Ovis aries: one gene and its partners. The protein of the gene in region 1 interacts with the protein of each later gene in a pairwise test. Links are inferred from orthologs where the notes say so. Each region holds a gene or a part of one and is shown in the gene's direction. Other genes may lie near its edges.

What was found.
Region 2: the proteins of HOMER3 (region 1) and MOS interact in binary tests that used the Homo sapiens proteins (3 or more experiments, as listed by UniProt). The two-hybrid records come from large-scale screens. The link is inferred for Ovis aries from reciprocal best matches to the Homo sapiens genes HOMER3 and MOS.
Region 3: the proteins of HOMER3 (region 1) and EIF3D interact in binary tests that used the Homo sapiens proteins (3 or more experiments, as listed by UniProt). The two-hybrid records come from large-scale screens. The link is inferred for Ovis aries from reciprocal best matches to the Homo sapiens genes HOMER3 and EIF3D.
Region 4: the proteins of HOMER3 (region 1) and PAX6 interact in binary tests that used the Homo sapiens proteins (3 or more experiments, as listed by UniProt). The link is inferred for Ovis aries from reciprocal best matches to the Homo sapiens genes HOMER3 and PAX6.
Region 5: the proteins of HOMER3 (region 1) and PSMA1 interact in binary tests that used the Homo sapiens proteins (3 or more experiments, as listed by UniProt). The two-hybrid records come from large-scale screens. The link is inferred for Ovis aries from reciprocal best matches to the Homo sapiens genes HOMER3 and PSMA1.
Region 6: the proteins of HOMER3 (region 1) and USP2 interact in binary tests that used the Homo sapiens proteins (3 or more experiments, as listed by UniProt). The two-hybrid records come from large-scale screens. The link is inferred for Ovis aries from reciprocal best matches to the Homo sapiens genes HOMER3 and USP2.
Region 7: the proteins of HOMER3 (region 1) and WIPF1 interact in binary tests that used the Homo sapiens proteins (3 or more experiments, as listed by UniProt). The two-hybrid records come from large-scale screens. The link is inferred for Ovis aries from reciprocal best matches to the Homo sapiens genes HOMER3 and WIPF1.

What each region holds. Positions count from the first base shown.
Region 1 is NC_056058.1:4,095,426-4,099,504, forward strand, and holds part of HOMER3 (homer protein homolog 3), read left to right. Parts: intron 1-26; coding exon 27-183; intron 184-640; coding exon 641-772; intron 773-2,433; coding exon 2,434-2,541; intron 2,542-3,615; coding exon 3,616-3,737; intron 3,738-4,079. UniProt on the Homo sapiens protein: Postsynaptic density scaffolding protein. Binds and cross-links cytoplasmic regions of GRM1, GRM5, ITPR1, DNM3, RYR1, RYR2, SHANK1 and SHANK3.
Region 2 is NC_056062.1:36,287,514-36,291,122, reverse strand, and holds MOS (proto-oncogene serine/threonine-protein kinase mos), read left to right. Parts: upstream 1-1,613; 5' UTR 1,614-1,680; coding exon 1,681-2,703; 3' UTR 2,704-2,805; downstream 2,806-3,609.
Region 3 is NC_056056.1:180,569,526-180,572,707, reverse strand, and holds the end of EIF3D (eukaryotic translation initiation factor 3 subunit D), read left to right. Parts: intron 1-940; coding exon 941-1,083; intron 1,084-1,348; coding exon 1,349-1,698; coding exon of another isoform or gene 1,699-1,733; exon of another isoform or gene 1,734-2,134; coding exon 2,135-2,148; 3' UTR 2,149-2,280; downstream 2,281-3,182. UniProt on the Homo sapiens protein: mRNA cap-binding component of the eukaryotic translation initiation factor 3 (eIF-3) complex, a complex required for several steps in the initiation of protein synthesis of a specialized repertoire of mRNAs.
Region 4 is NC_056068.1:61,391,747-61,396,517, reverse strand, and holds the start of PAX6 (paired box protein Pax-6), read left to right. Parts: upstream 1-1,643; 5' UTR 1,644-1,700; intron 1,701-2,076; 5' UTR 2,077-2,127; coding exon 2,128-2,137; intron 2,138-4,771. UniProt on the Homo sapiens protein: Transcription factor with important functions in the development of the eye, nose, central nervous system and pancreas. Required for the differentiation of pancreatic islet alpha cells.
Region 5 is NC_056068.1:37,966,163-37,970,241, forward strand, and holds part of PSMA1 (proteasome subunit alpha type-1), read left to right. Parts: intron 1-1,515; coding exon 1,516-1,604; intron 1,605-2,226; coding exon 2,227-2,297; intron 2,298-2,413; coding exon 2,414-2,543; intron 2,544-4,079. UniProt on the Homo sapiens protein: Component of the 20S core proteasome complex involved in the proteolytic degradation of most intracellular proteins. This complex plays numerous essential roles within the cell by associating with different regulatory particles.
Region 6 is NC_056068.1:29,668,730-29,673,325, reverse strand, and holds the start of USP2 (ubiquitin carboxyl-terminal hydrolase 2), read left to right. Parts: upstream 1-1,602; 5' UTR 1,603-1,740; intron 1,741-2,635; exon of another isoform or gene 2,636-2,788; intron 2,789-2,873; exon of another isoform or gene 2,874-2,937; intron 2,938-3,764; exon of another isoform or gene 3,765-4,596. UniProt on the Homo sapiens protein: Hydrolase that deubiquitinates polyubiquitinated target proteins such as MDM2, MDM4 and CCND1. Isoform 1 and isoform 4 possess both ubiquitin-specific peptidase and isopeptidase activities.
Region 7 is NC_056055.1:135,480,230-135,484,308, forward strand, and holds part of WIPF1 (WAS/WASL-interacting protein family member 1), read left to right. Parts: intron 1-1,512; coding exon 1,513-1,692; intron 1,693-4,079. UniProt on the Homo sapiens protein: Plays a role in the reorganization of the actin cytoskeleton. Contributes with NCK1 and GRB2 in the recruitment and activation of WASL.

The sequences.
Region 1 (4,079 bases):
CCACTGAGCACCCTCTCCCCACACAGGGAGCAGCCCATCTTCAGCACACGGGCACACGTGTTCCAGATCGACCCGGCCACCAAGCGGAACTGGATCCCTGCGGGCAAACACGCACTCACTGTCTCCTACTTTTACGACGCCGCCCGCAATGTCTACCGAATCATCAGCCTCGGGGGTGCCAAGGTCCTGGTGGGGCCCGGGCGGGGTGGCAGGGGCCAAGGATCCCAGGACAGGACTGGGTCCATTTGCTGCCTTGCTGTGTGTCTTGGGGGCCAGGGGATACTCTGAATTTTTCTGAGTCTCCATCTTCCTCCTGAAATGGCTCAAGCCAAGTGGTGCTAGTGGTAAAGAATCCACCTGCCGATGCAGGAGACTAAGAGACATACGTTTGATCCCTGGGTCAGGAAGATCCCCTGGAGGAGGGCATGGCAACCAACTCCCATTCTCCTGCCTGGAGAATCCCATGGACAGAGGAGCCTGCTGGGCTACAGTCCATAAAGTTGCAAAGAGTCGGACAGGACTAAAGCGACTTAGCACAGGAGGGCTAATAGAAGGCGATTTTCTCTGGGGGTTTCCTATTGATTATTATTACCAGTTCCATCACCCGTGAACTTTTCTCCCCGACTTCACCTTCCCCCAGGCCATCATCAACAGCACTGTCACTCCCAACATGACCTTTACCAAAACCTCCCAGAAGTTTGGACAGTGGGCAGACAGTCGCGCCAACACTGTCTATGGTCTTGGCTTTGCTTCTGAACAGCATCTGACTCAGGTGGGCCTGCGGGGGTACATGGTGGGAGGAGCAGGGCTGGGGTTGGGTCTTCTCTTGTGTGCACTGCGGGACCCTGGACAGATGCTGGGCCTCCATCTTCCCAGCTACAGGATGGGCATACAGAGTTGGACCAGCCTATAGCCCCTTCCCACTCCCCTGGTCCACATCCCAGCTCAGCTGGCCACCTGTTTTGATTTTGAACACACCCTGCTCCTCTCTGGGTGCCTTTAATGGGCTGAGTGCTTCCCCACACCCCTGGCAGTACCTTCATCACCACCTCCTTCCACCCTCTGCTGTTTCTAGAATTCGGCATTGTCTTATGAATTGTTTCCCTGTATGGTTCATGCTCTCTGCGATGCTTTTCTTCTCTTTTCTTCTAGAAGCATTAGTTTCCCTTTCAAATTTTAGATCTTGAATTAATTTCTGCAGGCGGTATAAAGTAGGAGTATTTTTTTCACATATGAGTATTCAGTTGCTCTTGGGACTTTTTTTTTTTTTTTGCCACACCATGTGGCATATGGGATCTTTGTTCCCCACCTGAGGATTGCACCCCCTGCACTGGAGGTGTGGCGTATTAACCACTGGGCCACCAGAGAAATCCTGGAACGGTTTTTGAAAACACTACCTACCCCCAATACCCCCAGTGAATTGCACTGGCCGCTTTGCACAACCCAAAGGGGGTGTATAGCTATAAATATTTTAAAAATTACTTTCAAGCTAAGGAAATTTATTTTAAAATTTAAAAAGGTGGGGGGCTTCCTTGGTGGCTCAGTGGTGAAGACTCTACCTGCCAGCGCAGGAGAAACGGGTTCCATCCCTGGACTGGGAAGATGTTAGACGCTGCAGAGCAAGGAAGCCCGTGCGCCACAACTATGGGTCCCGTGCTCTAGAGCCCGGGAGCTGCACCTGCTGAGCCCACGTGCCCCGGAGCCTGTGCCCTGCAACAGGAGAAGCTGCAATGGGAAGCCTGTGCACCGCCACCAGAGAGGAGCCCTTGCTCGCTGCAACCAGAGAAAAGTCTAAGCAGCGATGAAGACCCAGTACAACCCCAAATAAATACATAAACAAAAACTTTTTTAAAAGGGCTCCCTGGTGGCCTCGTGGTTAGGATTCCAGGCTTTCACTGCCATGGTCCAGGTTCAGTGCCTGGTCAGGGAACTGAGATCCCACAGTCCACTTGGTGCAGCCAAAAATAAATAAATAAAATGGAAAAAAAAAAAGTATATCCTACTCTAGCTGGAAAACAGGTATGGGAGATTAATGTAAACTATGACAAAAATGAGAACAGGGGGATTACTTTCCCACTGGCTGCAGGTGCCTGTCAGAGGCTCCAAGTCCAAGACCTGCTTTCTCTTTGTCACAAAGGATATTCACAAGCGTCCCAGGCACGAAAGACAGATTAGCACCCACCTGAGGCTCTCCTTACTGAGATAAGCTGATTGAGGGGAAAAGGGGATCTCTTTCTCAAGGTGGCCTCCGTGAACACCCCACCCCTGCCCTCTAGCCGGATACCCACTCTGCTCCTTGGGCATCATTTTCCAAGCCTTCTTCCCTCTCTTGCAAAGTGACAAAGCTAGTGCTGGGTGGGAGTCATGTGGTGGGGCCCTGGTGGAGGGGGCTGGGAGTTTGTTGACTGTCTGTTCCTATTCCTCATCCCTCAGTTTGCTGAGAAGTTCCAGGAAGTGAAGGAGGCAGCAAGGCTGGCACGGGAGAAATCCCAGGATGGGGGAGAACTCACCAGTCCCGCGCTGGGGCTCACTGCCCACCAGGTCAGCACTCCTTGTCCCAGAACTCAACTGCCCTGGAGGGGAAGGGTCTAAACGCTATGCCGGTGCTCAGGACCAGACACTCACTGATGATGTAAAACTAGAGCCGTGACCGTGGAAAAGGGTCGTGGGTGCCGTGGGTGCCGTGGGGGCATGTCATAGGCCTGCCTGAAAGGAAGGCCAGAAAGCCAGCTCACGTGGCAGCGTGGAAATGTGAAAGGTGAAGTGGCCAAGTAGTGGTGCGTGCTTGCATACTGTCGCTTCAGTCGTGTCCAACTCTTTGTGACCCTATGAACTGTAGTCCTCCCGCTTCTCTGTTCATGGGATTCTTCAGGCAAGAATACCAGAGTGGTTTGCCATGCCCTCCTCCAGGGGATCTTCCCAGCCCAGGGATATTGAACCTGCGTCTCTTATGTCTCCTGCATTGGCAGGCGGGTTCTTTACCACTGAGCCACCTGGGAAGCCCTAAGTAGCGGGGTGGGGTAAAAAACTGTCCCTGAGCGTTTCCCCCCACTAACCTATTCAACATCATTGATTGACCACCTACCGTGTGCCAGGCCCAGGACTGGGCACAGGGCTTAAGAAGATAAAAGAAGTAGGCTGGTCCCCGCCCTCAGGACTGTGGTCCAGGCATCAGGTGGATTCATAATGAATTTAGCCTAATAGAGTAGGTTTCTCATAGGAATTTTAAATAGCTGTTGAAATTTGGCCCCAGGAAAGGTCATTGCGGTGAGGGAATAGCACCGAGGCTTCAGATTGCTCCCCGATTTGCAGATTATGAGTATCTGTCTCCCTGGGTTTAGGCTAGCCTGCATTAGATTTGTTGCTGGTGGGTTGGTGAGAGCCCAGCAGGCAAGGAGGCGGGACAGGGCGCCAAACTACAGCCCAGGGGCCATGTGGGGGCCGTGGATGGTGGGGGAGGAGGGGAGAGGGACGATTGGATCCCAGTGCTGGGAAGGACCTCCTGCGCCCTCTCAGTCATGACCCCTGACATCAGCCCTGACCCCAACCATGACCTAACTGGCCCTTAACTGAAGCCACGCCCTACTGTGACTTCACTTCTATCCATGCCCTTAGGTGCCTCCGAGCCCCCTCGTCAGCGCCAATGGCCCCGGCGATGAGAAGCTATTCCGCAGCCAGAGCGCGGATGCCCCGGGCCCCGCTGAACGCGAGCGGCTCAAAAAGATGCTGTCCGAAGGGTGAGGAGGGTAGCACAGGGTGCAGGGGCGTGACAAGACGAAAGGTGGGGGAGGCGGGAGGAAGTTCTCAGAAATTGCTGGGACTTGTTCCAGCGGCGCAATCTGACAGTGGATCCACGCCTGGGATCCCAGAACAGGCCTGGGTTGGAGAGGAGACACCCAGATTATGCCCCTTCCAGAGCCGACGCCGCTTGCCTCATCCATTCCTCGGGGCTAGCCCTGGCCCGTCCACACCTCCCCCAGCTAATTCTAAACCCACGGATGCCTCCCCACCCCCTGGTTCTGTCCACATCCCATGGGCTGATACTGAGCTCCATGTGGACTGTCTCGCGGAGCGGACAC
Region 2 (3,609 bases), on another chromosome or scaffold:
TTCTCTTTGTGACCCCATAGACTGTAGCCCACCAGGCTCCTCTGACCATATATTCTCCAGGCAAGAATACTGGAGTGGGTTGCCATTCCCTTCTCCAGGGGATCTTCCCTACCCAGGGATCAAATCCAGGTCTCTGGCATTGTAGTTAGATTCTTTATTGTCTGAGCCACCAGGGAAGCTCCATTACTTCAGATAGGGCTCCCCAAATTTTGTTCCAAATTTTAGAAGTTTATTTTAATGATTATCCTGATTTCTTAAATAAAAAGACTGAGGCTCAAACAGGTTAAATATTATACATGATATCACATGGTAAGTCACAGAGGTAATATAGAATAGAAATCTTATTCTAGGGTTCAGAAGACTTCCAATAGCTTATGTAAATGGACTGTTTATTAACATATCTTCTTGGAACAAATATACTTCAGAAGCATAGACCTATCTTCAGAAAAATGTGTTTACACATCACCTATATGCTCTAAGTGCAAAAATAAAGTCAAGATAGAGCTTTACCATTTGACTTTTCAAAACATAGATCCTAACATCTTCCTGTGTTTTTTCATGAACAGGGTGTTATTGTTGGTTTTTTCCCCAAAGGTATGAAATGAAAACTGTCTTTTTTTAAAATAAAAATTAGAACAGAAGAACTCACGGCTGAACAGCAAGATCCTGGATTTAATCTCAACATCTGATTTTCCACAGTATATGGAGGAACAGTATATGACTGTGACTCTTTTTATTTCTTCAGATTTTTCCTCTCCTAAGATCTCTCGTATTTGTTATTATTTGACGCTCTGCTTGTAGCTCTGAATCATTTTCATTCTTTTTCCTCCTCTAACTCTGCTTCAAAACTTCTGTAACTTATTTGCTGTGAAGTCTAAAATCTCTTCTGCAAGTGAGCGTACTGGGTGCACCAGACAGCCATGGACCCCAAAGACTGCTAAGGATGCCATATGTTGCTAAGAAGTCTTGCTAATTTGCTCTATCAGCTGAATGGGGTGTCAGAGAATTTTCTTTTCCTTTATGAACTCAGAGTGTTTATGCTGTGACCTGTATCAGCAATTCTGCTTGGATCGATCACTTTCAGCTTACCATTTTTCATCCCTCCGTGAACGTTGCACCTAATTTTCCCTGTAATCGGTTCAACAACTGTCAGCTGTTCATGTTTCAACTCTTTCTGCCAATAACTGCTGGAAGTGATTTAATGCAGCTGGAGAATAAACTGACAATCATTATAGCCTGCAAAGTGTGAAAAAAATTTCATTGCACTATTGTGATCTGAGGACCGATGACGCCCAGCGGATGAGACTTGGAGTGGGGGTGGACGGGTAGGGGAGAAGCCTGCTTTATAATAATTAAAGAACTTGTGGAAGAGGGTGATTCCTGGGGCAAGTTAACTGTTTATCCGGTGAACCCTCTTCCAGGGCTTGTTTTATAAGAATTCACTGTAAGTGCCCAAGGGAAATACCTTCATCTGAATGGGGTTTCGGTGCTGCCTGCGCTCAGATGGTTTCCTCAGCTGATAAAAGTCCTCGCTAAGGAACCGCACAGATGTGGCTCCTTTGGGGAAGATGAAGGCAGAGGAGACAAACACGGGGGCGGAGCGGAGGGGCAGCAGCCAGTGATGCCTGCAGGCCGACGGGATCCCCTCTTCCAGGCCGGCTCACCTGCGCTGCAGAAGAGATGCCCTCGCCCCTCCCGCGGCGCCCTCACCTGCCCGGCGACCTCTCGCCGTCGTCGGGGGACTCGCGGCCCTGCAGCAGCCCCTGCGAGCTCTTGGGGGGCATCTTGCCGCGGGCCCCGCGCCTCCGGCGTCGGCTAGCCTGGTGCTCCATCGACTGGGAGCAGGTGCGTCTACTACGGAGGCTGGGCGCGGGGGGCTTCGGCTCAGTGTACGAGGCCACCTACCACGGTGTGCGAGTAGCCGTCAAGCAGGTGAGCGGGTGCTCCAAGAACTCGCGGGCGTCAAGGCGCAGCTTCTGGGCCGAGCTCAACGCGGCCCGGCTGCGCCATGTTAACATCGTGCGCGTGCTGGCGGCCAGCACGCGCCCGCCACCGGGTTTCGACAGCCTGGGGACCGTCATCATGGAGTTCGGGGGCAACATCACCTTGCACCAGGTCATCTACGGCCCCACCGGCTGCCCCGGGGACTCTGGCGCGCAGCTGGGCTTGGAGAGGTGTCTAAAGTACTCCCTAGACGTGGTCAGCGGCCTGCTGTTCCTCCACGGGCAAAGCATTGTGCACTTGGACCTCAAACCGGCCAACATCCTCATCAGTGAGCAGGATGTCTGCAAGATCGGGGACTTCGGCTGCTCCGTGAGGCTGGAAGACCTGCGGAGCCCGTGGACGCCTCACCACCTGGGCGGCACCTACACTCACCGAGCCCCGGAGCTCCTCAAAGGAGAGCCTGTTACACCCAAGGCCGACATCTACTCCTTCGCCATCACCCTTTGGCAGATGAGCACGCGGGAGGCGCCCTTCTCGGGGGAGCGGCAGCACGTGCTCTATGCCGTGGTGGCCTACCACCTCCGGCCCGCTCTCCGGGCACCCGTCTTCACCGACTCGGTCCCCAGGAAGACGTTGGCGGGCATCGTCCAGCGTTGCTGGGCGGCCCTTGCTCCCGAGAGGCCGAGCGCAGAACTTCTCTTGGGGGACCTCCACGCTTTGAAAGAGGAGCTGGGAGGACTCGAGACTGGATCCAAATAAGCGTCTTTGTTTCTGATCGTTTTTAACGAAGTGAAGATTTAGCGGGGGAAAAAATCATATAGGTAGGATGGATTTTTAGAAAATAAAGTCCCTTAAAAACTCCCTTTATCTCGAATGCTTTTTCTAAGACAAACCGCAGAGCGGTCGTGGTGCTCTTTGTCGTTATTTAGTCGCTAAGTCTTGTCCGACTCTTTTGCTACCTCATGGACTACAGCCGGCCAGGCTCCTCTGTCCATGGGCTTCTCCAGGCAAGAATAGGAGAGCAAGTTGCCATGCCCTCCTTCAGGCAGTAACAGGTATTCCTGAATAAACTGTAAAAAAAAAAAAAAAAAAAAAATAGTTGTCTGCAACCCCAACAAAGAGGACAGCAGCTCATTACTCTTGTTGTTTTCATTAAAATGGCTATTGTTTGTATTTGTTGTTGTTGTTGAGTCCCTAACTAGTGTCTGACTCTTTGCTGACCCCATGGACTGTAGGCCACCAGGCTCCCCTATCCATGGGATTTCCCAGGCAAGAATACTGGAGTGGGTAGTCATTTCCTCCTCCAGGGGATCTTCCTGATCTTCTGGACCCAGGGATGGAATCAGGGTCTCCTGCATTGGCAGCTAGATTCTTTACCACTGAGCCACCAGAGAAGCCCCCTGGTGGTTTCAGGACCTACCTTATCTCCTTACAGGGTTACTGGGCTTACTTTAACAGTTCCATGGTACTGCACTTTTTCAAATTTGTTATTTGTAAAACCAGGTTTTCCAAAGCAGAACTGAATTCGAAAATGCCAAAATTCTTGATACTCAAATAACATGCTCCATACCCACCACCTAAATTTAAACTACCAACAGTTAATTTTGTTCCCATATTAAATAAGTGAAAACATTAAAAAAAGATTAATTTTTCCTTCCTCCTCCA
Region 3 (3,182 bases), on another chromosome or scaffold:
TCTCTTTATAGACATGAGGTAGCGTGATCCTGGGTAGTTATACTCAGGGTTCCCCCAGACTCCAGGATAGCAGATGCAGCAAGAGCAGGGCCACCAGGGACCATCTTAGAATTAAGCCTAACCCCAAGCCTCATCCTTGAACTCCAGAAATGATTCCTGAAATCTCTTCTGACTCCTGTTCCATCATTGTTGTTTTTGTTTTGGAATTTTTTGGTGGTGGTTTTTTTCTAAAATACTTTGTCCTTTCAGTGTCTTCCTTTGTCATTCCCTCTGGCTTGACTGTCCACTGGTGTCATTTCTCCTGCTCGCTTAGGCTCAGAGCCTCAAACGTCTCCTCCTCCTCCGCTGCACCCTTGAATTCTGCTGTCAGGCTCAGTCTGTCTACTTGCCCAGCCCTAGGTTTCACTGACATCACCCTAGTTCAGGAGCCTTCTCATGACGCCTGATATTTTGCATTTGTCTCTTAACTGACCTCCCTAACTCCCTCTCCATCAGGTCAAACCTACCTGACCTCCCCTCCCTCTGCGGGCTTCCGCACTAAAGCAGTCCATCTCTTCCTTGTCCCTCTCAGCCCTCCCAGCTCCAGCTTCTGCCAGTATTCCCCACGGGTGAGCTGTCACACTCCCCTGTGAAACTCTTCCTCTCCAAACCACATGTGATAAACACTTGTATGGCACTTGTTTCTAACGTGTGAATATATGTCCTGGTCTGATTAAGACCTTGTGAAGAGAGGAGTTAAGTTTGTTGAGCACCAGCTATGTGGCAGGCTGTGCAAAGGAGGGACGGAGGCCCTACCCCTTAAATGATGTCTTCTGCTCTACCTGTGGGCTTTCCCCTCCCTGGTTAAGCCCACTAGGGACCTTCTTCTCTACCAGAGGGGCCATCAGTCCACAGGCAGCATGGTGCCTTGGCGCCTATAACCAGGGCCCTCCTCCCACAGCACTGTAACGGCGTTGACTGGCGACAGAAGCTTGATTCTCAGCGAGGGGCTGTCATTGCCACCGAGCTGAAAAACAACAGCTACAAGTTGGCCCGCTGGACCTGCTGTGCTTTGCTGGCCGGATCCGAGTACCTCAAGCTTGGGTGAGATTCCTGCCCAGGAGCCATGAGCTCATCTTCGGAAAGGAGGGGTCTTCGCGTTAGGAGACCAAGGCTGCCTTTTTCTCCCTTTTCTTGGGACAAGCACGAGGCCACCATTTAACTAGTAACTCAACCCCAGGCACAGCTATGTCTTTGTTCCGGCAGGCCCCACCCTAACACTCCTCCCCCCAGTAGTTAACGTGTCCCAGTGCCACACGATCTGTGCCAGCCAGGCCCCACCGTAACACTGCCACCCACCTCCCCCCAGTTATGTGTCCCAGTGCCACATGGTCTGTGCCGGCGGGCCCCACCCTAACACTCCTCCCCCCGGCAGTTATGTGTCCCGGTACCACGTGAAAGACTCCTCACGCCACGTCATCCTGGGTACCCAGCAGTTCAAGCCCAACGAGTTCGCCAGTCAGATCAACCTGAGCGTGGAGAATGCCTGGGGCATCCTGCGCTGCGTCATCGACATCTGCATGAAGCTGGAGGAGGGCAAGTACCTCATCCTCAAGGACCCCAACAAGCAGGTCATCCGTGTCTACAGCCTGCCCGACGGCACCTTCAGCTCCGATGAGGACGACGAGGAGGAGGAGGAGGAGGAAGAGGAAGAAGAAGGTGTGTGGCAAGCCTCCCTCAGGATTCTGGCGTGACCTGTGGGCTGGTTGGGGCCTCTAACCAACCAGTCCTCTAACCTCAGTGGAAAACTCCAGGAATTCCCTGAGGCTTCACTTGGTATGGCATTCAGTCTAGTTCCAGGAGCCACTTCCAGAGCCTTTCGAGCACTTGACGGGGTTGGCGAGGAGAGTTAGGGCAGGAAAGAAACGTCTAGAGGAATGTGCTAGAAGTCCCTGATACTAGCCAGTGGCCCCAAGAAGGAATGATGCTCCAGGTTCATGTTAGGCCTTAAATCGTTCTCTCACCTGCTTCACCAGTTGGTGACTAAAGGAAATACCTGTTAGTCCTCTGAGGATCTGAATGGTTTCACATCTGAGTGAAAGTGTTGGAAATCATAAGCAATTCACCAATTTGATACAACCTTTGTATGTTTCAGAGGAAGAAGCCTGAACCAGATGGTGACGCGGAACTGGTGTCTGCGACTGCATCGAGCCTGGAGGACCCTGAATACCTGGTGGGATGTGTGTCTGACTCTTGCTCTCTGAAGCTGGGCTATTGAAATAAACTCTATTTAGTCCCTTACCTTCATCTGTGCCTACATTATGACCGATAGCCCTTCTTCCTTCTCCTAGTAGCCTTTCAGAGAGGGAGGGTGAGACACAGCAGAGTCTCTCTGGAGTTCATAATCTGGGTTCCCGCCTTTGTTCTCAGCATTAGTGGTTTTACATTCCTGCTAGAAGGTGAATGCCCTGGGGTGTTTTGTTCTTGGAACCCCTTGAAATTATCCTTTGCCAGGGAGTGAGATCCATTGTGAGGTCCCCATAGGAAGTCCATTTCACAAGCACAAGCTGGCTACATGCCAGACCCAGCTGCTGCCCTGAGACACACACATCACAGTAATGATGAAGCAGGGCAGTCTTTGAAGCTTGAGGTGAGGTCGCTGCTGTGAAGGAGACCGCTTCAGAATGTCCTGAGGGATGTTCCATAGGCTGTTGATTGTAATGGTTTGTATAAACTTCCCTGATAGCTCAGTTGGTAAAGAATCCACCTGCAATGCAGGAGACCCCAGTTCAATTCTTGGGTCAGGAAGATCCCCTGGAGAAGAGATAGGCTACCCACTCCAGTATTCTTGGGCTTCCCTTGTGGCTCAGCTGGTAAAGAATCTGCCTGCGGTGTGAGAGACCTGGGTTTGATCCCTGGGTTGGGAAGATCCTCTGGAGAAGGGAAAGGCTACCCACTCCAGTATTCTGGCCTAAAGAATTCCACAGACTGTGTAGTCCATGGGGTCGCAAAGAGTCAGACACAACTGAGCAACTTTCACTTTCACTTGGCTTGGGCTGGTGATGTGCTCTCAAGCCGGCACCCTCAAAGCACTGTGTCATGAACAAATATCTCATCCTGACACAGAACTGTGATGCTGGTGGAAGTGATGCCATTGTACAGATAAGACTGGCTCCACTTTTGGGTAGCAGTCCTAAATTTAA
Region 4 (4,771 bases), on another chromosome or scaffold:
CATTCGGTTGTGGTTAAGTATAGGTATAGGTTACAGTAGGAAGTTTTACCCTTCTAGGGGAATATCAGTCCCCCTTCTCCCCACCAGCTACTGTTTGCAGTTTCAGAATCCAACTTGGTGTATGGGGGGAGTTGGGCATTCTGCGAAAAGTTGTTTTTTTCTGCCTCTCCTGGACTTGACTTGGTCTCCGGATGGAGAGACAGGAGAGAGGCTTTGGGAAACTGCCTTGGGAAGCTAGAGGAAAGTCCTCTAAGTTTATTTTTATGGATTTAAACTGCCTCCCAGCTAGTTACTAAATTAGACCATGAATAGCCTTGAAGAAAAAAAAATTTGCTTCTTAGAATTCTTTACTTGCAGGCAGGCAAAATTAATAATCATAATAGGCAAAACAGAAAAAAGAATGAATATTTTAATTTTTTAAAGCGGGGAAAGTGACTATTTAATTATTTTACTTTTTTTTTTTTGGCAAACCTTTGAATGGGTTCTTTATTGTAACTCTCTCTTCCCAATTGAGCTCCCCACGGTGCCGTTGTATCTTTTTACAGCCCCTAACAACTCACACCAGTAACACAATTACCTCCAGATATTTATAACAAGAAATTATTTTTCTATTTTCTCCCCCACCCAGAACCTTCTTCTTAAGAGAAGACAGGGAGGGGTGCTGGTGGAGGGGGTGTTCACCTTGGGGGACTAGCACTGGGTCAGGACTTATAAAGCGAGAAGTGTCCCTCTGTTCCCTTTATGGGTTGGTGAGTTGTTGGTACCTTTGGTTGGAAGCTCTGTTGCTAGTTAGGGAGATTCAGTTTTGCTCTTTGGGTTTGGGGAGAGCTGGAGAATAGAAGCCATTGTTCGCTCTCTGTATGCTTTGTCGACCACGCTCACCCCCTCCTGTTTGTACTTTTTAAAGCAGTGAGGCGAGGTAGACAGCGTGTGTCACAGTACAGTAAAAGGGGGGAAGATCTAAACACCAAAAGAGAAGTTAATCACAATAAGTGAGGTTTGGGGGGGAAAAAGTTGGGCTTGCCACTTTCAAAGTCCCAGAAAGAATGGGAAGTGAATGGCGATCAAGCCGACTGGGAAGTTTTGAGGGGGAGAGTGAAGGATAAAGAGGTAACCAAAGACTTGGGTTGGGGAGGGGGGTTAGGGCAACTGGGGTAGTGAAATTCTTGAAAGGAGTAATGGTTCTGACATCCTCCCAAGCAGCCCCAGCTTGCACCCTCAAGCTCTCTGAAGTTTCAGGGTCCCCTGTGCTTCACCTCTAAACTTCAGGTGTAAGCCCCTCTTCCCCCAGCTCTTGGCTTCTTCTCCCAACCCTGCTGTTTCTCTTGTTCTCCCCTTTTCTTTCCCTGGTTCTTGGTATTTTTGCAAAACGGGGCCCTAAATTGTCAGGCTCTGCAAATCGCCCAAAGCCGGGTCAGAGCAGCCACTATCAAAACGTGGAGACCTTTGCAGGACAGGCTGCTGGAAATGTGGGTGTAGCTCTGGGATTTAGAGTTTTATGGCAGTTTGAGCCCAAGATGGCTTTCTTTTCTTCTCTTTCTGAGAGTGTGGATCAGAGAGTCCATGATCTATGCTTTTGAGTCATAGTTTGATATACCTTTCTCTCCTTCTGTTTTGTCTTAGGGGGAAGACTTTAACTAGGGGCGCGCAGATGTGTGAGACCTTTTATTGTGAGAGTGGACAGACATCCCAGATTTCAGGCAAGTTCCATGCTGGCTGCTTTGGGTTCCCCAACCTGAAAGAGTCAGAATGCTGCTTCTTCATTGTTGTTCAGTTGGAAGAAAAAATTCAAAATCAAGTCATGGATTCTTCTGACTAAAGGGTTAACTACTAAGAGATATGGGGGAAACAGACCGGGAATACTGGAGTATTTGTAATGCAAAAGATAGATTTTGCACGTACTGGAGTGCAGAGCTGATCTGCCCAAACTGATTGATCCAATAGCCCCAAACTGATGGAGTGGATTATTTCCTTAAAGAAGAGGCTTTCTCCTGTCCTGCTTCCAGGACACCCTATGTAGGGAGGTAGGCCTACCTGGTGCCGGCCCAAAATTAATGCCTATATTCTTGCTAACAGAGCCCCATATTCGAGCCCCGTGGGATACCGCGGCCCCCAGCCAGCGCCAGCATGCAGAACAGTAAGTGCCTCTGCCTCTGGTCTTTTTGGACTTCGGGCGGGGGAGGCGCAGACCAGCGCGCAGGTCGGGGGAGGGCTTGGAGGCTCTCGGTGTCCGCACTGGCCAGGCCGCGGGCGCGAGGGAAGAGGCCCGGGGACCCGAGGCAGCTGCTCCACGAGGGGAGGGCGTCTGCTCTCTTGCTTCCTCCTGGAAGAACAGGGGCTGGGCCCTTGAGAACAGCCCGCAAGAGTTTGTGAAGCTGCGGAAGAGAAACCCCATCCCCCCAAATCCTGTAACTCACACCCCCTCCCCGCCCCTGCCCGGGCTCTGACCCCAGAGAGGGGGGCTGGACTGAGCGGGGCGGGGCGGAGTCCTCTCGCCGTCGTAGCGCGAGAAGGAGGCCCCTTGGGCTTAGTCAAGACTGAAGGTCTCCACCGTCTGGGGCGGGTGGGGGGCTCCTCTCCCCCAGTCACCCTAAGAGCAGCTCCTCCCATCGCCACCCTGGCGAGGGGCCTGGAAGGCCAGGGGAGTGGGGCACCCAGGCCTGCGGTGGGGTGGAGTTGGTACTGGAACCGTGGGACTGTTACAGGGCGCAGACCGGCGAGAGCAGGTTTACTGGGTCTGGGAGGAGAGTGGGGATCGAGCCCAAGAGTTGGAGCAGCCCTGCCCTAGTGGCTACTGGGTGGGTCCTAGTCATTCCGGGCCCAGTGTGCCTTTGATTCCCTGGCTCTTGCATCTCCCGTCCTCCCTTTGCCTAGACCCCTTGGGCTCCCATCCCTTCTTTCTGCTCAGTACGTGGGAGCTGCTTTGTGGCAGGACGAATCTGAGACAGGGCCTGAGAGCCTGGAGGCCCAGTGAAACTAGGCCCCGGTAGAGGTGCAGTGCCCCGAGGCGGTTTAAGGGCTCCGCTGTATGGAGTGCCTGAAAGCCTAAATCTTCTAGAAACCTTCCCTTGCCGAACTGCAGACTGAGAGGGGTCCCTAGCCCCTGATCCCTCTGTTCTGCAGCCGCTAGCTGTCCCCTGGCCCTTCAGCGGCTGGTGGGCGTGAAGCGCAGGAGAGGGCGCAAAGCGGGCGCAGAGCTGGAAAGGCGGATTAGTTGTGCAGAACGTGCCAGGCCCCGGGGACTTGGCCCGGTAGGAACCCTCCTTGGCGAGACTCGGTCTTCTGGCCACTCTTCCTGGCTGCTGGGTCCTCCCCTCTCCAGCACAGGGGCCCCAGCCGCAGGCTCTCGGGCAGGCCGGTCCTGGGCGCGCGGCGCTGAGCATTTGCCGCTGCGGCCTGGCTGGCGGGCCCCGAGGGGCGCGGGGTCGCGGGCCGGCCTGCAGGGCTTTGTGCCGCTCGCTCCCGGGTGTGCGCGAGGCGCAGAGCATCCAAATTGACACCATATGTTTTCCTATTAGATGCTTCGCGGTCGAATTCTAGGCGCATAATCATCGCCACTGGGCGAGAGCGCCAGCCGTCCCTAGGGAAGGGACACAATGATTGAGGCTTAACCTCTGAAGGGGAACTTAGAGCGGCGCTTCCTCGCTGCCATTTCGATGCTGGCAGAGGCGACCTGGCCCTGGGCGAGCACCCGCCGGCGGTCGCCGTGGAGGTGGCGGGCAGGTTGTTTTTTTTTTGCCTGTTGGGGGGAGGGGGAAAGAGGGAGGTCTAGGATTAGGCGGCTTCATACGCGTTGGCATTCCCAGATTGGGAATTGCCTCGGCTGCGCGTGAAGTTTGGAGAGTCTTTCTCCATCTTTCTCTGGGGGTGCCTTTCTTTTTCCCGGGAAGGCGTCCTTTGCCCAAAGGGGAGGCTCCTGTAAGCTGGAGCAGTAGAAGTTCTTTAGAGGCAAAGGAAGGCAATAAAGGGAATTTAGGAGAAACCAGAAGCGGGGTCTAGGCCTCGCTCTGTTGGAGAAGCGGTGTCCCCGCGATGTCCCTGCTCGAGCCCAGCCCGGCGGAGCCTAGATACCCCAAACGCCTGTCACTTCTCATCGAGTTGAGGCTTCAGCACGCCCCCTCAGTCAGCCCCCCCCCTACTCTGCCCCAAGCCTTCAGCTACCCTGAAAACGCGGCTCCCCTCGAAGGGGAAACGAGTGCAGTTCAATCTCGTCTGAGTGATCTACAAATAGGGACGGAAAGGGTCGTTTTATCACGGTCCCGTTTGTCGTGACGATGCAATTTCCCGGAGCGGAGCACTGTCACAAAGTGACAAGGCTGCCACAAGCGCCCCGACTGATCTTTTCAATTAGCCTTCCATGCATGATCCGGAGCGACTTCCGCCTATTTCCAGAAATTAAGCTCAAACTTGACGTGCAGCTAGTTTTATTTTAAAGACAAATGTCAGAGAGGCTCATCATATTTTCCCCCCTCTTCTATATTTGGAGCTTATTTATTGCTAAGAAGCTCAGGCTCCTGGAGTCAATTTATCAGAGGCTCCAAGGAGAAGAGAGGAGAGGAGAGGAGAGGAGACCTGAGCGGGGGAGCCACATCTCCTGGAAGGGCTGCTCTCTAGAGTCGGGGCTGCAGGTTGGAGAATTTTAAGGAAGTGGAAATTGGCAGTTGGCTTTATTTGTGTGCCTGTGGTTTCTGGGGAGGGGGCTACAGGGGTGCTAACTCCTTCTCCCTATTCTCAGTTTAGACAATAGGGTGAGGTTGTGAGATAACCAGAT
Region 5 (4,079 bases), on another chromosome or scaffold:
GACATTTATTTTTTGCAAAGCTCAATACTGGATACAAAGAGTATACAAAGGTGAATCAGACAGATCTCATCTTCTAGGAGCTTAAAATCTAGTAGAATATCTGCAATACAAGGTAGAAAGTGGAGAGCAACAGGTATATTTCTTTGGAGGGGGTGGGGGATAAAGATTATTTCCAGTTGAGAGGCATATTGCAGATGAAGAGCTGGGGCTTTGGGATCACACAGTCTTTAATTCCCACTTTTAACACTCAATCTGATGTTGCTCTAGTTACTCAAACTCTGAATTTTTTTAGTATTTTTTTTCCAAGGTTATTGACAAATAGCCTAACATGTAGAACACTTCATACAGCATCTTTCAGTGTATGTGTTGGTAAGTAGGAGGTAGTTAGCCACAAATAATCTCGTCTGTGATTTAATTAGGAAAGGAGGAATATAAACACCGAAGACAGTTAATAATGCTGATGTTTAAAATTTTCAAGTTATTTGGTGAGTTCCCTGTTCTCTTAGGTCAGCAATATAGTGATTACATTAGTGTTTTCTGTTAGCTGTTGAAAATATATGTTGCATTGTCAAACATTTTACTTAACCCAATCTTTCAAAAATATTGTCACTTGTAATCGTTTAAAAGCTTTATTGGATATTTTACATTATTGCGCAAATCTTTGACATTTTATGTATATTTTTTACTGAAGATACATCTTAATTCAGACTAACCACTTTTTCAGTGCTCACTAGTCACATGTTACTAGTGCCTGCCATATTGAGCAATGCAGTGTTAGACAGCCTTTGGAAAGGAACTTAAGTGAAAGTAGTGAACAACTAGCTTGGTTACAGCAGCCAACATCTGATCATCGGATGTGACACACACATAAACTAGACAGAGCAATATGAAAGAAAAGGTTATCCTCTTGGCTTTAATAGGTGTGAATTTTCTTTTCCCCAGTGTTGTATTTGCTTGCATCTTGTTGGGTTTGAGACTTAACAGTGTAGTGTCTCCTCTAGAGTACTGCTATGGAGAGAAGTAACATTGACAGAAACATGTTAACAGCGCCCTAGTATGGATTCAGTTTCTTCTGTTTGTTCTGTTGGGGAAATTTTTGTCAGCTTTCAAGGAAAAAAGCAAAGTTATTCTTTTTGCTAGCTCAAGACATGGAATTAAGACAGTCTTGCTGACAGTGGGAAGGGTAAGAGAAGAGATTGCTCTTTTCCTATCGTGCAGCCTTTTCTTCTCTGTTATGTAAAGTGCTCTGAGGCAAAGGTTATCTAGAGCTAAGAAACGTGTAGTCATAAACTTAGGTAAAATGGTGAAAATTTTAAGGTTAGTCACTTTCAATAATAGAACACTTAAAATATAGAGATTTGATAGAAAAATTTATCCTTGTCATTATATGTTTATGGTTCCATTGTGTGGATGTACGTGTAAACATCTGGAAGAAAGCAAAAAGAAACCAAATAACTTTGTTTGATTAGAATTACTCTGATTTGAAATTACCAGTTTTTCTTGTTTCTTTTTCAGTAATTTTATGCGCCAGGAGTGTTTGGATTCCAGATTTGTATTTGACAGACCTCTTCCTGTGTCTCGTCTTGTATCTCTAATTGGAAGCAGTATCCTTTTCATTTATGCATTTATTGTAGCATTTATGGATGTAGACTTTAAAGGGTCTTGATACTTAATCGTTATATTACTTATTAGGAATATGATAATATATAACATAGGTAAGATTGTGCAAACTTTAAGTTGAGTCACTTTTCAGTAAAAGAATGCTTTAAGTCTTTAGAAGGAGAATTGTAGGGAGTTTTACTATGGAAGAATAGATTCTAACTGAGTTGGTTTGTTCTTTTTATCAGCCTTTATAGATAAGCAATTAATATGTTCCAGATATAGATAAGCCCAATTTCAGAAAAACTGAGCATCAATTTTAGAAGAGATTTAATGTTTGTTTATTCGTGGTTATAGATGCTCCCCCTAAATCCTTAGATCCCTTAGATCCAAAATGAATGAAATTCTCTACACCAGAAAAGATCATCTTGCTAGCACTCACTTGGGGTTTGGTGGATAGTCAAACATCTTTTAACACTAAGCCAAAGAAATATTTATTTTCTTCTTCTTGGGGTAGTGAATTATGCAGCACTTAAAAAAACCAGAACTCTTTGTTGATAATATTTAATTTGAAATTAAAGACAGTACTTTACTTCTTGTTAGAACAAACTCTTTAACTAGTTTAAGAAACCCAGATACCAACACAGCGATATGGCCGGAGACCATATGGTGTTGGGCTGCTCATTGCTGGTTATGATGTAAGTTCATAGAGTATTGTTATATTTTAATGATTTTTTTTGAAACTAACAAATTTTCTAATTTTTAGCTCAATTAGAGTCAAGAATTATGCAGTGTATTTTTCTTCTATTTGTAGGATATGGGTCCTCACATTTTCCAAACTTGTCCATCTGCTAACTATTTTGACTGCAGAGCTATGTCCATTGGAGCCCGATCTCAATCAGCTCGTACTTACTTGGAGAGACATATGTCAGAGTTTATGGAGTGTAAGTAATTTTTCTTTTTTGCCCTTCTAGTCTTTATATAGTGAATAAACACAGTATCCTATGTGGAAAAAAGCTCTACTTTTCTTAGAAAGATTAAGCCCATGAAGTGTATATTATTTCTGCCATATATACTAGTTTTCACTTTCTCTGGCTACCAGGGCAGTTTCAGTCACCGGTCAAACTTTTTAAAAATATAACTATGTATTCCTTACCTTGAAGATTTTTTATTCAATTGGTCTGAAGTGTTGTCCCAGCCAGAGCTGAGAGCCACTGTAGTAGTTACTACTTGTAAATTCTGTTTACAGCTTTTATTTTCTGTGATTCTTATTTTTAGCCACATAGACATTTCTGCAATAAGTAGTCCATAAATAAATAAATCAGTTTAGTTGTGAGGAAGAAAAGATGTATCGTGATGATAGGGCAGGTTTTCTTTTTTCTTTTTTTTCTGTTTTTTTTTTTTGTTTTTTTTTTTTTAGTTTTTTTTTTTTTTTTAATTTTAAAATCTTTAATTCTTACATGCGTTCCCAAACATGAACCCCCCCTCCCACCTCCCTCCCCACAACATCTCTCTGGGTTATCCCCATGCACCAGCCCCAAGCATGCTGCACCCTGCGTCAGACATAGACTAGCAATTCAGTTCTTACATGATAGTATACATGTTAGAATGCCATTCTCCCAAATCATCCCACCCTCCCCTCTCCCTCTGAGTCCAAAAGTCCGTTATACACATCTGTGTCTTTTTTCCTGTCTTGCATACAGGGTCGTCATTAGGGCAGGTTTTCAAATGATTTGCTTATGCAAGGGTCTTAGATTTTAACACATGCTTTTTACGCGTCAAGGTAATCATGCATCCACCGCCACCCCACCCTCCAGCATTCTGTTGTGGTGTATTGCATTCATTGACTTTTTTAAAATTTATTTTTCTATTGAAGGATAATTGCTTTACAGAATATTGTTGTTTTCTGTCAAACCTCAACATGAATCAGCCATAGGTATACACATATACCCTCCCTTTTGAACCTCCCTCCCATCTCCTGCCCCATCCCACCCCCTCTAGATTGATACAGAGCCCCTGTTTGAGTTTCTTGAGCCATACAGCAAATTCCCTTTGGCTATCTATTTTACATACGGTAATGTAAGTTGCCATGTTACTCTTTGCATACATCTCACCCTCTTCTCCCTTCTCCCCATGTCCATAGGTCTGTTTCTCCATTGCTGCCCTGAAAATAAATTCTTCAGTACCATTTTTCTAGATTCTGTATATATGCATTAGAATAAAATATTTATCTTTCTCTGAATCACTTCACTCTGTATAATAGATTCTAGGTTCATCCACCTCATCAGAACGGACTCAGATTTGTTCTTTTTTATGGCTGAGTAATATTCCATTGTGTGTGTGTGTGTGTGTGTGTGTGTGTGTGTGTGTGTGTGTGTGTGTGTATCTATCACAACTTCTTTATCCATTCACCTGTCAGTGGACATCTAGGTTGCTTCCATGTTCTAGCTATTGTGAATAGTGCTGCAGTGAACAACATG
Region 6 (4,596 bases), on another chromosome or scaffold:
TGATGATTTTGAACTGTGGTGTTGGAGAAGACTCTTGAGTCCCTTGGACTGCAAGGAGATCAAAGCAGTCAATCCTAAAGGAAATCAGTCCTGACTATTCATTGGAAGGACTGATGCTGAAGCTGGAACTCCAATACTTTGTCCACCTAATGCGAAGAACTGACTCACTGAAAAAGAGCCTGATGCTAGGAAAGAATGAAGGCAGGAGGAGAAAGGGATGACAGATGAGATGGTTGGATGGCATCCCCGACTCAATGGACATGAGTTTGAGCAAGCTCCAGGAGTTGGTGAATGACAGGGAAGTCTGGTGTGCTGCAGTCCATGGGGTTGCAGAGTCAGTGACTGAGGGACTGAACCAAACTGAAGGCTGTTAACCTTTGATCCAATTCTATGTGGAATTCCGTTTAAGCCCCTTCATGAATATGCATACACTGCTCAATCCCTCATGAATATGCATGTACCCTTAGCTTAAAACTTCCCCAATTTTGCTATTCAGGGAGACACTGCTTGGGGAAAGATCCCATCTACTCTCCTCCCTTGCTGCAAGTAATAAATTCTTCCTTCTCCAGATCTTTTGACTTGGTTGTCTTTTGGCTTGACACCCACCAAAAGGGGAACCCGGTTTGAGGGTAACAATAGGAAACACAAGAGCTGCGATCTGGAAGGTATTTGTCTTGCACAAGAGGGACACAGCTCTCACCGCTCCTGGAGCAGAGGTAAGAATGAATTCAGCTATGTTTGTAGGCAGAACTTTAAGGATTTCCCTCCTGATTGCCTCCAGTTCCTCAGGGAAATAGAAGACAAGGAGGGACTTGGGAGAGTGGTAATGGACAAATGCCAGCTGCAGAGAACAAGAGAAGCAGCTAAGGACACTTGGAAGGACTGACGGTCCAGGTGAAACTGAAAACCTTGGACTTGCCTTGGCACCAATCTACCTGGCCGTGTGGTTTTCTTCACAGTAGAGGAAAGGGGGGAAAGTTATATACAAAGAATGGAAGTGACCCAAAAAATCAAGTTTCCTTTGGCTTTTTCTTGAAAGACAAAAAGAGAATCTCTTCTACTGACCCAGTGCCACCGTTTTACCCACTTCAGAAAACACCACCAGTCACTCGTCTCATGTTAGTAAAATAAGCAGAGAGTGTCTTAAAGAGTAGAGAAGGGAAGAGCCAGAAGAACTGGCCCTCTCCCAGTCGGGTGGGAAGGAGCTGGAACATTTAGCCTTCCCTAAAATCTGAAAGCTGATATGTACGCCCTGGGGTTCAACGCTGAGCCTTCTCCCCGTGACCCTTCCTCTTTCCCAATACCTTCCAGCTGTCCCGTCGTGTCATATTCAGGCCCACTTCAGGTACTCCAACCACCCCTTCCAAGCTCGCGTGCCTTTTCTCCACGTGGTTCTCTGTATATGTCGGTCGCCTGGGAGATCCTGGTCGGGCGGGGCTCTGATGACGTCATAATAGGAACAAGCCAATCGCCGTGACGCGTCTCAGTGACGCTAGACGCGAGGTGTGGCTTTGCCGGCCCCGGGCGCAATGAGGCGGCAGCCCGCTGGGTGGCGCCGATTTCCCGGGGAGGTCCTCTCTGGGCCCCCGGCGGAGGTGGGGTAGAGGCGGGCAAGAGCCGAGGCCAGGGAGCCCTCTGCGTCAGCGGCTGTTTACTGCGCCGCTCCAGTACCAGCCGGGACTCATCGGTAGCTCCATGCTTGTGCCCGGCTCGACTCATCCATCCTCAGAGAATAGGCAGGTACGTGCCACCTGTCGGAGACTGGGGAAGAGGGGATACGGAGGGCAGTGCCGTGTGAGGCTCTGAGAGTGAGGTGTCAACGACCGCCTGGGCAAAATGGGCACTAGAAATGTAGGGCAAGTGCCAGCTGCGCTGAGGATCTCCAGCTGTGGGTGCCAGTTGTGTGTGTGAGCCGACAGCTCAGGGTGCCAGGGAGAGCCATCTGTGTGCTGATCAGTGTGTTCTCAGGAAACGCTGCTTGGGCAGGACCGCATCTCCGAGCCCTGTGTGGGATGTGGCGGAGAGTGACGCCTGGGCCCTGGCAAACCCCTCCCCACGTGTGCGTGGCAGCCTTCTTACTCCCTCCTCTCAAAGCTCCTGGGGGCTTGTCTCTGATCAGTTTGCCAAAGAGGGGTAGGGGTGGGGGGGAGGGTAGTAGTTAAGTGGAAAAGGGGTAGATTTTCCACCAATCCCAAACAAGAAAGAGGCATCTTTGAAATTCTCACCAATCCCAAACCAGAATCAGGCACGCGATGCTCCAAGGCAAGTAACTTATACTCAACAGCCTAAGGAAGCCCATTCTGGCTGTCCTCTAAGGAGGAGCATCTACCTCCTGACCTGGCCGCTCTTAGAATGGAACTGAGCTGGAGATCCTGCCCATGCTCATCTCCCCAGGCACAGGCAGGAATAGGTCCCCAGAGTCCGACATGTACAGTGGAGGAAAGGAGAGCTGGTTGGGCTGGGGTTGGAGCAGCCACCATTCCTTTGATGCTGTAGATGATGCCAGACTGGAGTCGGAATGAGGACTGGAATGAGGGCTGGGGACGAGGGCGTCCTCTGAAGTGCATCATCAGGACCTGAGCTGAGTCAGTAGTCTCTGCTGAGACAGGGTGGAGGCACCATCCCGGGTACTCCCAGTCCTCAGGGACAGCCATCGAGAAACAGGAGGAACAGCTGGGAGCTGACAAGAGCACCAAGGTCCGAGAGGTTCAGAATCCTGCACCTTCCTCCTGTGACCCTGCCCAGCCAGCCTGGCTCTGTAGGCTCGGGATCCTGAACACTCCTCCAGGTAGAGTGGAACCACTCCAGAGCAGCCAGGCTTGCTCCTGGTAGCCTGGGGGAAGCTACACTTGCTATATATTTTTCTAGGTAGAGAAGGAAAGAGCCCAAGTGGGCCTGGCCCTCCTCTGATGGGTGGACTGCACATCTGGGAATAGGGTAAGCCTCATTTGCCTTGCCAGCTATGGGACACGGATCAGCTCGGAAAACCATGGCAGTTTTCTGACATGAGAACAGGGCACTCCCACGGGGTGGCCTGGAGGAACCTTTTCTCACTAGCAAGGTTCACCTGACAAATGCTACCACTAATTAGAAGTGGAAGTATTTGATCTAGTAGTGATTATCATTTATTGAACTCTTACTATGTGCCAGGAAATTAACAAGCATTATTTAATCCTCACCTCCATGAGGTATATCATTATTATTACTCCTGTTTTAAGACTAAATAAGGTTTGGACCACTTAAATGACCGCTTAAATGTCTCTGAGGCAATAAAAAGGAAAGACTTGGAATACAAGCCCAAGCCTAGAAGTCCATTATAAAAGAGCTTGAACTGGAAACCTGAGAGAGGTCCCTTCTGCCTCTCCCTGCTTCTGTGTCCTTGAGGGAGCTGCTGTCTGCCTCCAGGTCTCCTCCATCTCAGAGCTAAAGGAGGTGGACTGGGGCTTCTTTCTCTTCTCTACTTCTGTGACTGACACCTCCTTCTCCATATTTTTGCCTAATTCCACCCCCATCCCTCTACCCTCTTTCCAGTTCTGCTTCCCCTTGAATCCCCCTTCTGTTCCATTTCAAAATGCTCCCTGCAAACAGTCTCCCAGGATCTCCTTGCCTGGCACCCACCTCGAGAGGGAGGGCCTGCCACTGCCCCTTTAATTCTCCCTGGGCTCAGAATGCCAGCGAGTGGAGCTAGCCATCTCCATGAGGTCAGATAAGATACTATATATATCGAGTCAGTAACCTGAGCCCCGGATTACCCGGCCCAAGTCAGACTCCTGCTTCTGGGCTCGCCACTGCACTCCCTGCCCTGCCGGGGAAGGAGAAGCCCCCAGATCCTGCCCAGTGTCCCCGGACACAGGTCGGTAACTGCTCCTTTGGTATCCGAAATTCACAGGGCCGTTGTCCCTAGGGCCCTGGACTGTCTGTTTGAGGGATCCCTGTCTGTTTGGGGGAGCATGTGAGAGGCCACCCCACCAGGCCTGGAGGTGCTATGGGCAAGACCCAGGGGCAGAACCAAGGGCTGGGAGGCCAGGAGGAGGAAGCTGAAGCCCTGGAGGAGAGGGAAGGAGCCTGGGGCTCTCCCCTGGGGTAGGGGTTCCAGGAGAGTGCCTGGGACAGTCGTGGTTAGAAAACAGAATTTAAGAATTCCAATACTGCCTGGGGGCCCCATATCTTTGCCTTTTCTTGGAGGTATAGAGATGCCAACCCCCTCCCAACCCAAATGAAGGAGAACCCTGAAGAGACACTGCGTTAAGCCCACCCACCTCTTCTCCTCCAGGCGGAATTCTGGTTTTAATCTCCAGTCTCTTTATTTTACCTCTTTTGCCCGTCCCAGCCCTTGAGTAACTGTTGGGATCTAGAGAAACTGAGAGGGACCCAATCCCCTTGATGACCCCCGGCCAAGGCCTATCAGGCACTAAACTGGTGGGTCAGAGGGTGCCAGCCCAAGAGGTAGAGCCGCTAGCTCCAGGCTGAGGCTCCTGGGCATCTGAGAGCAGTAAACAGAACTCCTGAACTGTGAGAGCACAAATATCCCCCACCCCAACCTCCCCCTCCGCCTACATGTTCCACTCCTGCCAGGACATCCCGCGACCTAGGGGA
Region 7 (4,079 bases), on another chromosome or scaffold:
ATCCAAACTACAGTAGCAAAAACATTCATCATTTCAACAAAAATGTATATGAAGTAACCCTGAAAGAAGTATGGGTGACTCTCATTACGAAAATTATAAAGTTTTACTGAATGAATCAGAACACATGGGAAAACATAGTGTGTTTCCATAAAGTCTAAATATCATAAAAGTGTCAGTTCTCTCAGATTATTTTGTAGATATCATGTAATATTTATCAAAGACTCAACAAAGTTTTCCAGGGGTAGAACTTTAAACAGTACTTAGCCTCATAAAACATACATACATAAATTGGTAAGAGATAGTTTTTTAAAGAGGGTAAAATCATGGCTCTAATATGGATATAAAATAAACATATCAAATATTTTATATAGCTCATTAATTTAATGAGGGAACCAATATGATATTATCAATTCAAAGGAGAATTATAAGTACCACACGTATGCAGGCAGGTGAGTGTTGAAATGAATTTGCAAATAGGTGTAAAATAGGTCAATAATCAGTTGAATTACACTGAACACAGCTAATATGCATTTCTGTGGACAAATACGCATTATTTTCAGTTTTCTACAACTTACAGAGTTATAGACTACCTCAAAGGCAATGGGAAATGACCCAGAAGGCTAACTGGATACTTGGTAATCCTTTTCTTTCTTCTTCTTTTCCCTTTTTGTTGGTCTGCCCATTTCAGAATCTTTCACAATTTTTTTTTTTGGCAACAAATGCAAACTAAAACAATCTTTACATTGTCTCAAGTTGCAAAGAATTTTTAAAATGTTAAAGTCTACTGTTGCTTTTTATGATATTAAAAAATTGAAATCAACCTGAAAGGCCATCAAATAAGTAAATGGTTAAATAAATTACAGCACATTCATGTTCTAAAACACAATGCAATCCTTTAAACTCATGCTTTCAGAGAATATTTAATAACATGGGAAATGCTAACAATATTGAGTGAAAAAAGCAGACTAAAAACTATGTAGTGAATTTGGTCTTAATTTTAAGAAAAAAAGTATATCCAGTGAAAAAACTGGCAGGGGAAAAAATATACAAAAACAGCAGGTATTTCCATGAAGCAGAATTATGGGATATTTTACTTTATTCTATTTTTACCTGTTCCTTTCTTCTCACCTTTTATTGCATCTTCTCCTCCCTTAACACATTCTTTCTTTTAAGATACTTTTATTTGCCAAATTTTCTGATACAGAGCAAATAGATATTATTAATTCATATGGCAGTGAGCCATGTGGAGGAAAGACATTATCTATTACCAATTCTTCCACCACAGGGCTTGAGATAGCCCTGGAGTAGAAAGAACCCTCTTCTGCTTTTCTGACTAGAGATAGGGTGAGTCCTTAAAATCCTACCCTCTAATGAAATCGCAGTTGTCCACCATGGGCTTAGGGTCAGCCAGCTTCCTGCTGTATCATTATTGTTTACCTGGGCCAGGACTGGTGGAGTTCTCCGGCAGTGTCTTCATACATGTGAAAAGAATGTGTCTTCTTCCTTCTACAGAACCTAAAGGAGCTGCTGGTGGTGGTGGTGGCGGCGGCTATGGCGGAGGTGGCGGCGGCTATGGCGGAGGTGGCGGCGGAGGAGGTGGTGGAAGTTTTGGAGGAGGTGGACCACCCGGTTTGGGAGGACTGTTCCAGGCTGGAATGCCGAAGCTGAGATCCACAGCCAACAGGGAGAATGGTAAAGAGCATTTTCTTCCCTTAGTAACCGAAGACTAAGGCACAATCTGGCGGTTTGAGATTTGGCATCCCCTCTAAGGCACTATGCCCTTTAAAACATTTTAGATTGCTTGAAACGCTAACACCGTTTTATAAGAGGGACTCTATTTAGCATCGTTTTTTCTTTTTAAATCAGGATCAGACAGCTCCATCTAGCTGTTAAATATTTGCCCAGTGTCCTTGGGGAAACTTGTACTTTTTTGTACTTTTCTAAAGGGTGAGCTAGATTGGAAAGAAAAGGAAGGAGCAAATGAGAGAAAAATCATGGAAACTCTGTCTGGTGACATGGCAGATTCAGCTTTCTTTGTGAGGTAGTCTGACCTAGCTGTCTAGTGGAGTAAATACTTGTGAGTCTCTTTTCAAACACACAGTGGAGCATGTCTTAGAGAATATAATTACATATCTCACAAAAATCTAGAAGGGCATTTTGCCTGGCAGACATTTGCCATTTCAGGGCCAGCGATTCTAGTATTCTCTGCAGGAAGCCATGGAAATGGGTCCTATAGGAATGTCTGTGAACAGAATGGCAGAAAGAAAACTGAACCTGGTCATGCCTAAATTAAAAACCTTATAGAGTGCGTGAGGCTCTTCCCTGATTGTGACAGAAACTCAAGAAAGTTTTCCATGAAATTTTATTTTTTAATGTTTACTGTGCTAGAAGAATTTTATTTTTAATTCCATGGTCTTTTAAAATGTCACTGGGAAATTCTCACATTCACATGAAGATAAAGGCACTGAATCCTCAGAGTTAGCTGACTATGTTAGTTTTGGATTGTCAAAATCTAGAGGGAGACTCACTAATATAAGAGATTTTATCTTGCTAGGCCTGCATTTAGAATTTGTATATTTAAAACCTACTGAAAGGTTTTGAGGCAGCAGACATATGCATACGTTCAGTACTCTAATAGTAAGTGAGGAAATTTAGGCCAGAGACAACTGGAAGTAAAATAATTAAATGAAGATGGAATTGAAGTTAATGCACAAAATGGTGTACCAGAAGTATATACTTTCACAGCATACAATTTGCATATTGGGTCCTACATGTAGATGTAGCTATGGATAATAACTGTACCTTTAGGGCTTCCCTGGTAGCTCAGTGGGTAAAGAATCCACCTGCAGTGCAGGAGACCCTGGTTCAATTTCTGGGTCGGGAAGATCCGCTGGAGAAAGGATAGGCTACCCACTCTCTCTGGTATTCTTGGGCTTCCCTTGTTGCCCAGCTGGTAAAGAATCCACCTGCAATGTGGGAGACCTGGATTCAATCCCTGGGTTGGGAATATCGCTCGGAGAAGGGAAAGGCTACCCACTCCTGTATTCTGGCCTGGAGAATTCCCTGGACTGTATAGTCCATGGGTTGCAAAGAGTCTGACACAACCGAGCGACTTTCACTTTCATCCAAACTTTGAAGATAAAACTTATCACAAGTTGGTGACATAGAAACATACCACACAGCCAAGGAAAATATAGCTAATTTCTAGTGCTAAAGTCAAAACAAAAAATTCTCTCTAGAGTTCACATTACTCCATTGTATAAATCCAGCCAAATGTTTCTCATTGGACTTTTGGGTGAAATCTGAACTCCTTTTGGCCTACAAGGCTCTTAATCACCCGGCTTCTGCTGACCACTCAGGCTGCATTTGACAGTGTTCTCCTCTGTGCTCACTGTGTCCCTGGCATATGAGCCTTGGTTTTTTAACTTAAGCTTACTTCCACCTCAGGGTCTCTGTACCTGCTGACACTCCAACTGAAGCACCTCTCTTCCTCCTTTCCATGGCTGGCCTTAGCTCAAATATCACATCCCAGAGGAGCCATCCCCAGCCATGTCCACCTATCCTGGCCTCTCTAGAACTCTTCATGTCATCAGCCTATTTTAGTTTATTTTTAGTACTTATAATGATCTGAAAATATTTATGTTTACCGGGTTTTTGTTCATCTCCGTAAGAACATAAACTACAAGAGAACTGGATTGTTTCTATTTTGTTTACTCCTCTGCCTCTAGCATCTAGAATAATGGTTGGTTTATAGTATAGCAGGTACTCAATAAATAATTGGTGCATGTTTAAACTGGTAGGAGTTTCCAGGCTAAGCATTTTTTGAAGAATGAATTTGGGTTGCAAGAGACTCTGCAGTAGTGATTTGAATTTTTCCATAACTTTGGTTCCTCTTTAGTTCTGCCCTTTGCTGAACCAAAGCAGTCGAACATTAATTATGTAGTAGGGTGGTTCTGTCCTATATTATTGAAGTGGAACGACCTACTAGGGAAAAAACTGTATAATTGCCTACTTGTTTCCAGATTAAGACCACTTCCTGGTGTCAGCTCTTTCAATTAAACTTTAACAGCTTCTTTTTT